Drosophila melanogaster: one gene and its partner. The gene in region 1 interacts genetically with each later gene. Each region holds a gene or a part of one and is shown in the gene's direction. Other genes may lie near its edges. The genes, in order: Fadd and PGRP-LE.

Region 1 (3,887 bases):
GCCAGAGGGCACTGATGCAGACGCCGTCGTGCGCCTGCCACTTCTTGTACATCTTCGTCGTCTTCCAGTCCCAAATATAACATTTGCCATCGCCATCGCCCGACACCAGATAGCTCATGTCCGGCGAAAAGTCCAGCTGGCAGGCGTAGCCAGAGACCATGTGACCGGTGAAGGTCTTTTTGCGGTTCATCTTGAAGCGATTGAGGGCGGAGAAGATGACGATCTTGTTGTCTAACGACTGGCAGGCCATCCATTTGCCATTGGGCGCCAATGTGACCGCCGGCATGGAATGCATAGTGGGGTCGGCAATGTACTTCATGTCCACAGGAATGTCCCACTCCCATATGCGCATCGATTTGTCGTCCGAGGTGGTCACAAACCGTCGGTTGTCGTCCACAAAGGTGATGGTGCTCACAGATCCCAAGTGCCGGTCGTATTCCTGTACAATATCACCGCTGCGAGTGTCCCACTGCGAATTGATAGGAAAACAATTGTAACATGAGCATCTACTTTTGTAAATTTTACTTACACAAATGATCTTCTTGTCGGAGGTGCCGGCAACGAACAAATGTTGCTTGCTATTATCCGGATGGAATTTCACACAGAAAGGCATTTTACGCGTTGTGAATCGGGACACTACATCGCCCGTTTCGGCATCCCACAACTTTATGTAGCGATCATACGAGGCAGACAGGAAGTTGGTACCCCTGTTGTTCCACGCAATATCCTTGATGGCCTGCCGGTGACCGGAGAAGGTGCGTATGCAGCGTCGCTCGCCGTAAACCTCCCACAGTTTGACGCGACAGTCCATCGATCCGGAGAGCAGAAGATGAGCGGTCTTGGGGAACCAGCGGATGGAGGAGATGCCCTTGTTGTGGCCCGACCAGGTGTGTATGTGCGCCTTGGGCAGAAAGCATTTGGTCGGTGGTGCATTCGATCGTAGATTCACGCCCAGATCATGAGGAGCATGCAAATAAGAGCGGCCCTGATAGTCGTACGCATCCTTGACTGTGGAGCAAAAAAGGAAAAGATTATTAACGATATATATTCGGTGGCTATTGGATTAAACTCACTGTGCAGCGTCGACTTCTCCTCGAGCGGCTTATCCTCGGGAATGCGTCCGCGCTTATGTCGCTTAGACAGCAGCTCGTCCAGTTCGGCGCGCTCCTGTTCATTTGGCTTTGCCACCGACACCTCGTTTTCGAACTTGCCCCAGGGACCCAGAAAGCCCTCAATGTCCTCGGGATTATCATTTTTCTCCTGCTTGCGCAGTTTCTTTGCCTTGGGCGGCTCAAATACCGTCTTGCCATTGTCATCGTACGCAGACTGCAGGTCACCCACAAAAGACTGGCCGTCCGCCTGATCGTCTACGCTGGGGTCCAATGCGTAGCCGTAGGTGTGAAAGGTGCGTCGCTGGTTCTCAAATTCGAAGGCATTGATGTGGGCCTTCTCTACGTAGCCGGCTAGGGTGTTCCGCGGAGCGCGCTGCTGCATGGTGAGGTCCGGATGCTCCGGACCTTTTACCGGAGCATACATCTCCTCATAGCGCGGATTGTAGGTTACCTCCTTGAGCGTGGGATCCAGAGTTCGGGGCACGGCCGATGCTCCAAGGGGAACCACCGTTGGCGCCGCACAAACAGCAATGGACTTGGATAGCGAGTGTGTCTTGTCCACGGGCAGCAGGTGATCCGGAATGGGAGCGGAGGGCTCTGAATTCGTGGTGGCTGTGGCGGCGTCCGCATGGTCCGATTCTTCATCCGAGGAACTGGCGTATGACTGAAGGCCCAACATTTAGAGGCTGCGGACGAACTCTGTGTACTTGTTAACGAAATGCTGAAGGTAAATCAAGACCAGAGTGTAGAGGAGGAATACGAAAACGTTAATGGATATTTCCATTCGTCTACACGTTTGCGTTTATCATTAGTTGCTTCAGTAAAAGTAACAAAAACATAAATATATATCTATCAAAACTAGGGATGGTGCGTGCCATCTGTTATCGATGTTATCGAATGGCTATGTAACGGTCTCACTAATAGATCCCAAACATGCAAGGTGGTGCAAGTTTAAAGCTTATTTTAAATTTTTTAAGTTGTATGGAAATAGTATTTGATATTTTTTTGCTCATTTTGCTCAAACACCTATTCAGTGCTGATCGATAACAGGTAAGGAAATGTTTGGCCATACGGTCATACTACATCAGGGAGTGAAGTTGCGTTGATACATTTTGGGAACTTAAGACCGCTGAAAATACCGTCTCTGTAAATTAGTCACAATGACTGCAGGCAGGCACTGGAGCTACGACAGCCTCAAACAAATCGCCATTGATGGATGCACCGAGAACGTGGAGCAGTTGAAACTAATTTTTGTCGAAGAGATTGGTTCGCGACGCAGATCGGATTGCATACGAACCATCGAGGATTTAATTGACTGCCTGGAACGAGCGGACGAACTATCGGAGTACAATGTGGAGCCACTGCGCCGGATATCAGGCAATATGCCACAGCTCATCGAGGCTCTGAGCGCCTACACAAAGCCGGAAAACATTCTTGGACATCCGGTTAATCTGTACCAGGAACTCCGATTGGCCGAGGAACTTCGTCAGCAGCTCCGTATTGCTCCAGCTTCCCAGAATGCTCAGCCATCAGTTTCGGAATTAGCTGCCGCTGTGCCTCCAACAGCAATCCAAAACTATGCCACCCCAGCTGCTTTTACGGATCACAAACGAACGATGGTCTTTAAGAAAATATCCGAGGAACTGGGTCGCTATTGGCGACGACTGGGCCGATCGGCGGGCATTGGCGAGGGCCAAATGGACACAATCGAGGAGCGCTACCCGCACGACTTGAAGTCCCAGATTCTGCGACTGCTGCAGCTCATCGAAGAGGATGATTGCCACGATCCCAAGCACTTTCTGCTTCGTCTGTGTCGCGCCCTGGGCGATTGTGGTCGCAATGATCTGCGCAAGAGGGTGGAGCAGATAATGTCGCACTAGAACGCATTCACTTATATGCACTTTATATGCATTTTGTTACGATACTAGTAATTAATGTGCTGGAGAGCGACAAAGATGTGCCTTTATTGTAATTATTCACATGTTATTCCAAGGTTGGACAGAGCATAAAAATCGCACACTAAATTAATATGTGTCAACGCGGAATTGTACGATCTTATAAGAAAATGTGATTGACGTATTCCATTCAAAATGGGAATTCACATTTCCTTATCATAAGATAGTCTACAAAAAATATTGTTAACTCGTAATACACAAGTCACATAGTTGAAGATAGCAATGTACAATGGATATAAAATACGTTTTGCAAACGCTTTTGCTTCTCTTATCCTCAAAAGACGGTTGAAAATTTGTTTACAAATAGGGTCACACCTTTTGCATTGAACTATCGAATTGGCAATTATCGATAGGCACAGCTGGCTGAATATCGTTTGCTTCGGGGTGAATGGTTAGCAACACGTGCGCGCAATATTTTATTTGAGAATTCTGTTTTTAACCATTAAACTCTATTAAAAAGCATACATAGTTAGCAATATGTCTATTCGGGAGAAGCTGCTGATGAAGAAGATCGTTAAGCGGGAGAAGATGAAGAAGGAGCTCTCGCAGAAGAAGGGAAACAAGAACGCCCAAAAGCAGGAGCCACCCAAACAAAATGGCAATAAACCCAGTAAAAAACCGGAGAAACTCAGTAAAAAGCATGTGGCCAAGGATGAGGGTACGATTAAAAACGTGTGTGCCTAATAAATATATGTAAGATTCACTTTTCGACCCGCAGATGACGACTTAGAGGAGGATTTCCAGGAGGCGCCGCTGCCCAAGAAGAAGCAACAAAAACAGCCTCCAAAAAAGCAACAAATTCAGGTGGCCAACTCGGATT
Region 2 (5,188 bases), on another chromosome or scaffold:
GGTAATGGGAGTCGAGTTTACACTTGGTCGATGTTTACCGAATCTAGTCGCTCGATTCGATTGTTCGACGGAATGGGAATTGGCCACCATATCATTGATTTAAAGGCGTTAGTTAAGGTTGTTCTGATATCAGACGGATTCCTTAATAAATGCACTGCAAAAAAAAAAGCAACGTAATTATAATCGTTAAGGAGGGGGAACAATGGCTTGGGTATTATTTGTTTATTTGTATTTATACGTATTTTTTTTTTTTTTGCTGGCCCAACTCGCTTCAGTAGTTTTCCCGAAGACGATGTGCGGGTGTTTTTTGTGATTATTAATTTATTTATTTGTTTTTTTTTTGAATGGGGTGCAACAGTTGTGCTGCAATCAGCACAAATAAATCTTTGTGGGTGATTCATAAGCTGTCAAATAAACGCATACAGCACTGCACAGCACAGCAAAAAAAATGTTGGAAAAAAAATAAAAATAAAAACACGATGTAGAACAAAATATTGGTATTGGGCAGAATGGCCGAAAAGCGCTCCGAATTACCTGCGCATTAACAATAACGGCGCGAATCGGATAGGGATACTATCCAATCCAACACTATCCAATCCCAATCCACTCCACGCTCTCTATATGTAAACTTAGCACACACGAACGCAAATTTACACTGGCATACATGAAATGCAATTATTATTATTATTATTATTATTATTATTTTTTTGTTTCCACGGTCTGTTTCAGATCCGGTTGCAGCTTATGCGAAGCTAATTAAACTAAAACTATAACTACAACTTTGTTTACACAACACACCGCTGGCCGAATGCAACGTCGAATTGTGCTAAAGCGAACCCATTATTTAAGATTTCATTAAATCCGCGACGTTTTTTCCTCCAGGGCACATCATCTGATGTTGATGGTTTTTCTCAAACTTTGCGCTTATTTTTACCGGCACACGGCGCAATCTGTTTGGCTTTGGACTGGGTACGAACTTGTACTTGTACGGTACACCGATAGAACAACATATCCGACGGATAGCGACGAACAAACGGAACGGGATGGGTTTGGCGGATGGCGGATGGTGGATGCGGATGTGGATGGAAATTCGGTACGAGAAGAAAAAACCGCAATTCGATTATATCTTATGGCTGGCGTTTGTTTTAATTTTAACTAATGTTAACTAGCTCTCGCAATCGAAATAACACAGACAGACGCAAGCGATGGCATAAACAGAACTACCAATAAGAAATTATCTCAAAATGTATTTCAGGCAAAAAGTAAAACAGTAAAAGCTCTTCTCATTGAGCATTCGCATTCGCACTCGGCTGCTTCCATCGAAAAATTTTTCGAAACTGAAAGCAGAAATATATTTTTCTGGCCATTCCAATTCGACTCGAAACTCTCTCGCTCTCTTCCTCGCTCTCTTTGTGCGCGGTTCCAATCGGAACCAATTGTGGAACCTAAGAGAGCGTTAATTCTAAGATTTTACATAAAGAGAATCCGTTTTTCTCTTTCATTTTCATACATTTTTATGTTTTCTCTTCCCCTAAATTATGTTAAAAGCTTTAATACCAAAGCTTCACTTTATTTGACAGCTGATTCAGCTGAAGGTGATTGCCGCCCTTTTTTGAACTCCACTAAAAAATGCCTATTTTGGTATATTTGATTAGGTTATCTGTTGATTACAATATATTTAAGCTGTTTGTCCAATTAGCGAAGATATTTAAAAAGTTTATTTCACTTTTTGATATGCTTTTAATTTAACTTTTAAATTAGACTGTGTTCCTGTTCGGAATACGGTCACACCGGAACAAAAACATAAACAGACCTTTGAATGCATTCCACTGTGCAGTCAAAAGTAATAAATATAAGCTCCTCAGTTTTATACGTCAAACTATCGCTTAAGCAATGTATAAAATTAGTTTATAAGTTGGTTACATTTTAGTTTATTCTCTTTTAATGGCTCTAAGTGACTATTAAATCCGTGTTGTGGTAGCTCTTTGGTTGGCTTGAATAGCCAGCAGTAACTAAATATAAAAATAAAGAAAGTAATTGAGAGACTTGGAGGGAAGAACAGCGCATACGCGAGAGTGGTCGAGTGAATGTTTACAGCGCATGAATTAGGTTTTGGTGGTTTATCTGAGTACCTCTAGCCCCATGACTAATGCTTAAAGATGGGCTGACTTGGGTGTAATCACCTGCCTCTACAGGTTTATTATCAAACACGGTGCAGTGTTGCAGTTAACTGCTTAGCATTAAAGCCCAATATAGGCAAGAGTGTTGGAAAGCTCATCTTTTCCAGCACTGGGTGCATTGTACCTCCAGTCGATTTGATTGGTGAACCAAACTGGTTATATTTTAGCCAGTGATAAGGGGTTTTCGGATCTGGACAAAGCATTTGTATGTTTATATATTTATATATATTATATTTATTTATTTATATATATTTATTTACTTATTTATTTATTTATATATATTTATATATTTTCATAGAACAATATATATATGTATACAGAAATATATGTCCAAAACGGTTAAAGAGGGATAATTTAAACTATTTTTTTTTGTTCGTATTTAAATTTTTGTAAGCTTTATATGGTTAATCAAATACTTATCGAAATCTGAAACTCAACTAGTGGATGCGGCCCACTGTATGTACGATACCGCTAAGCTCCCTTCAAAGGCAGTGGAATTGTTCTAAATGCGAACATCGATAATACTTATCGATATCTAGACTGATCCTCGATATCCATGACAATAATTAATACACATGACTAAATATGCAAAAAAAAAGCCCCAAGTGGACTGATATGCAAAAAAGCATTTCACCACGGCACCTGCGCATATAATGGTGGATAGCCTGTGGAACGTCCTTATCTTATCGTGTAAGGTGGACACGACACGAACACTAATCAGAGAATAGAGCAGTTCTAACTCACAATATTGATAAACAAAGTAAGGGCCAGCCGAGAGATACACGCGCATTTATTGGCAGCAAACAGAAGCCAAAACTACGGACATGTCCGAATCGGGAATCAAAAAGTTGAGCCAGGAGCGGACTCGCGAATGGTTGGCTAGTCAGGAGGACGAGGAACTGGAGTCCATTGCAGAGTCCTCGGTTGTGGACAGCTTGGACTACGATTATACCGAGGAAGAGGAGGATGCCGACCAAAATACCAGTGAAGAAATCAGCACTATGACACTAGGCACTCAAATCGGTGCGTAGTACTCAAGATCAAGTTTCTATATTCAATTTATAACACTTTCAATATATCCCCACCTTAAAGCTACCAAAAAGCATTCGATCATCAGCGACACCATAAGGGACCTTATGAACTCGATCAACAGCATTCAGACTTTGGGCAACGTTAATATAAGCAACTCCACGAACGTCCATATCGGCAATGTTACCAATATTAATGGAAATATACAAATCATAGCCGATGGCCTTACTCAAAACCGAAGAGATCGGCGGCATGTTTCACCACCGAGAGATAACGCTCCCAAAACTCCGACACATTTCGAAGACGACTATCAGGACGAGTCGGAGGAGAGGGTGCGCTCGGATGTGTTCATCAGGCGCCAGAGTAAGCTATCATTCACCAGGGGATGCATACACGTTAACCATAGGATACCGATTTCACTTACAGAATTCAAAATACCCAAGGAGCTGTCCGCCATCATTCCGCGCTCTTCGTGGCTAGCACAGAAGCCCATGGACGAGCCACTGCCCTTGCAACTGCCTGTTAAATATGTGGTTATCTGTGAGTATTCAAGTTTGCTGCACGTTTTAACCATTTTTTTGCCAACTGATTATAAATCAAGTTGTCTGTAAAAGTATGACGCAATAATTAAAACAATTTATACTATTTGATCTGACCATCATGCTTAGCACTCACTAACCTAAGATTATATCGTATTATAACTCTTTTCGAATATATTTAAAACCTTGATTAACAAATATTGTTTTACCACGCAGTACACACAGCTACAGAGAGTTCAGAAAAGCGGGCGATCAACGTAAGACTTATCCGTGACATGCAGGTAAGTATTTCGTTAGCGAAATTAAATCATATATGCTCCGAACTATATAATAATTATGTATATATATTTCAGTGCTTCCACATTGAGTCGCGGGGATGGAATGACATTGCGTACAACTTCCTGGTCGGCTGCGATGGCAACATCTACGAGGGACGCGGATGGAAAACGGTGGGCGCCCACACTCTGGGTTACAACAGGATCTCGCTGGGGATCAGTTTCATTGGATGCTTCATGAAAGAACTCCCGACGGCAGACGCCTTGAATATGTGCCGCAATCTGTTGGCCCGCGGCGTTGAGGATGGTCACATATCCACCGACTATAGATTAATTTGTCACTGCCAGTGCAATTCGACGGAGAGTCCTGGTCGGCGATTGTACGAGGAGATACAGACATGGCCCCACTTTTACAATATCGAGGAGGAGGAACAATGAGGGACAAAAGAAGAGCACCATTTCACATACTTAGACTTAAATGCACCCGAGTTACGTTTATAATGTTGAACATTAAATCACCTGTTTATAAATTTTCCAGCTACTGGCAGTTTCGTTAAGTTACTTTATATTTTGGTATAGTTTTTGCAGCGCTGAAAGGTGGAAAAACCACAAGATGTTTCGGAACCAACATCGCCTACCTGTTTTAATTCACAACTGAAAGAGAAGCAACAATTATACTGCACAAATATGAGCGAGCTAGCACCACATAAATACAGACAATAGTAATGCATTTGCTGAAAACAATCTATAATTAAACAAAAATTTGCGTACAGTCAAGTAAACAATTAACAATTAGAAGTGATTTTCTTTAAGCTTTGGCGGAGCCGAATACTTTTCCTTAACGTGAGCACGGTACTCCTCGTCATCATCGTGGCACTCCTTATAGCATAGAGTGCAAAAGAGTTCCCCACCACATCCGTGGCATCGGAAGTCGGCGTCTTCGTTACAAATATTGCACCAGGGCAATTCTTCGGTGTTGCCGGGCGACTCAGTGTTAATTGGACTAATTTCACTCTCGGAAGGTTCTGGTAAGCGCGATTCTGCTACATACTGAATGGGAATACGAAAGTGATGATTTGGCTTAAAAAAAATAATGCTACTATATAAATGCGAACCTTTTTCAATATGTTCTGTAGAAGTGTCTCGTCATCCTCTTCGTTGTCCG

The links.
Region 2: of Fadd (region 1) and PGRP-LE, changing one suppresses a phenotype caused by changing the other (phenotypic suppression), as found in Drosophila melanogaster (one study listed by BioGRID).

What each region holds. Positions count from the first base shown.
Region 1 is NT_033777.3:22,032,291-22,036,177, forward strand, and holds Fadd (Fas-associated death domain), read left to right. Parts: upstream 1-2,164; 5' UTR 2,165-2,272; coding exon 2,273-2,992; 3' UTR 2,993-3,327; downstream 3,328-3,887. Other genes in the region: CG6015 (uncharacterized protein), read right to left, coding at 1-469, 530-1,008, 1,074-1,791; CG45099 (uncharacterized protein), read right to left, coding at 1,792-1,896; pit (pitchoune), read left to right, coding at 3,545-3,725, 3,786-3,887.
Region 2 is NC_004354.4:15,800,524-15,805,711, reverse strand, and holds PGRP-LE (peptidoglycan recognition protein LE), read left to right. Parts: upstream 1-1,831; 5' UTR 1,832-2,385; intron 2,386-2,621; 5' UTR 2,622-3,004; coding exon 3,005-3,203; intron 3,204-3,272; coding exon 3,273-3,572; intron 3,573-3,635; coding exon 3,636-3,749; intron 3,750-3,964; coding exon 3,965-4,029; intron 4,030-4,101; coding exon 4,102-4,461; 3' UTR 4,462-4,559; downstream 4,560-5,188. Other genes in the region: CG15602 (uncharacterized protein), read right to left, coding at 4,816-5,073, 5,139-5,188. UniProt on the Drosophila melanogaster protein: Peptidoglycan-recognition protein that plays a key role in innate immunity by binding to murein peptidoglycans (PGN) of Gram-negative bacteria and activating the imd/Relish pathway. Has no activity against on Gram-positive bacteria.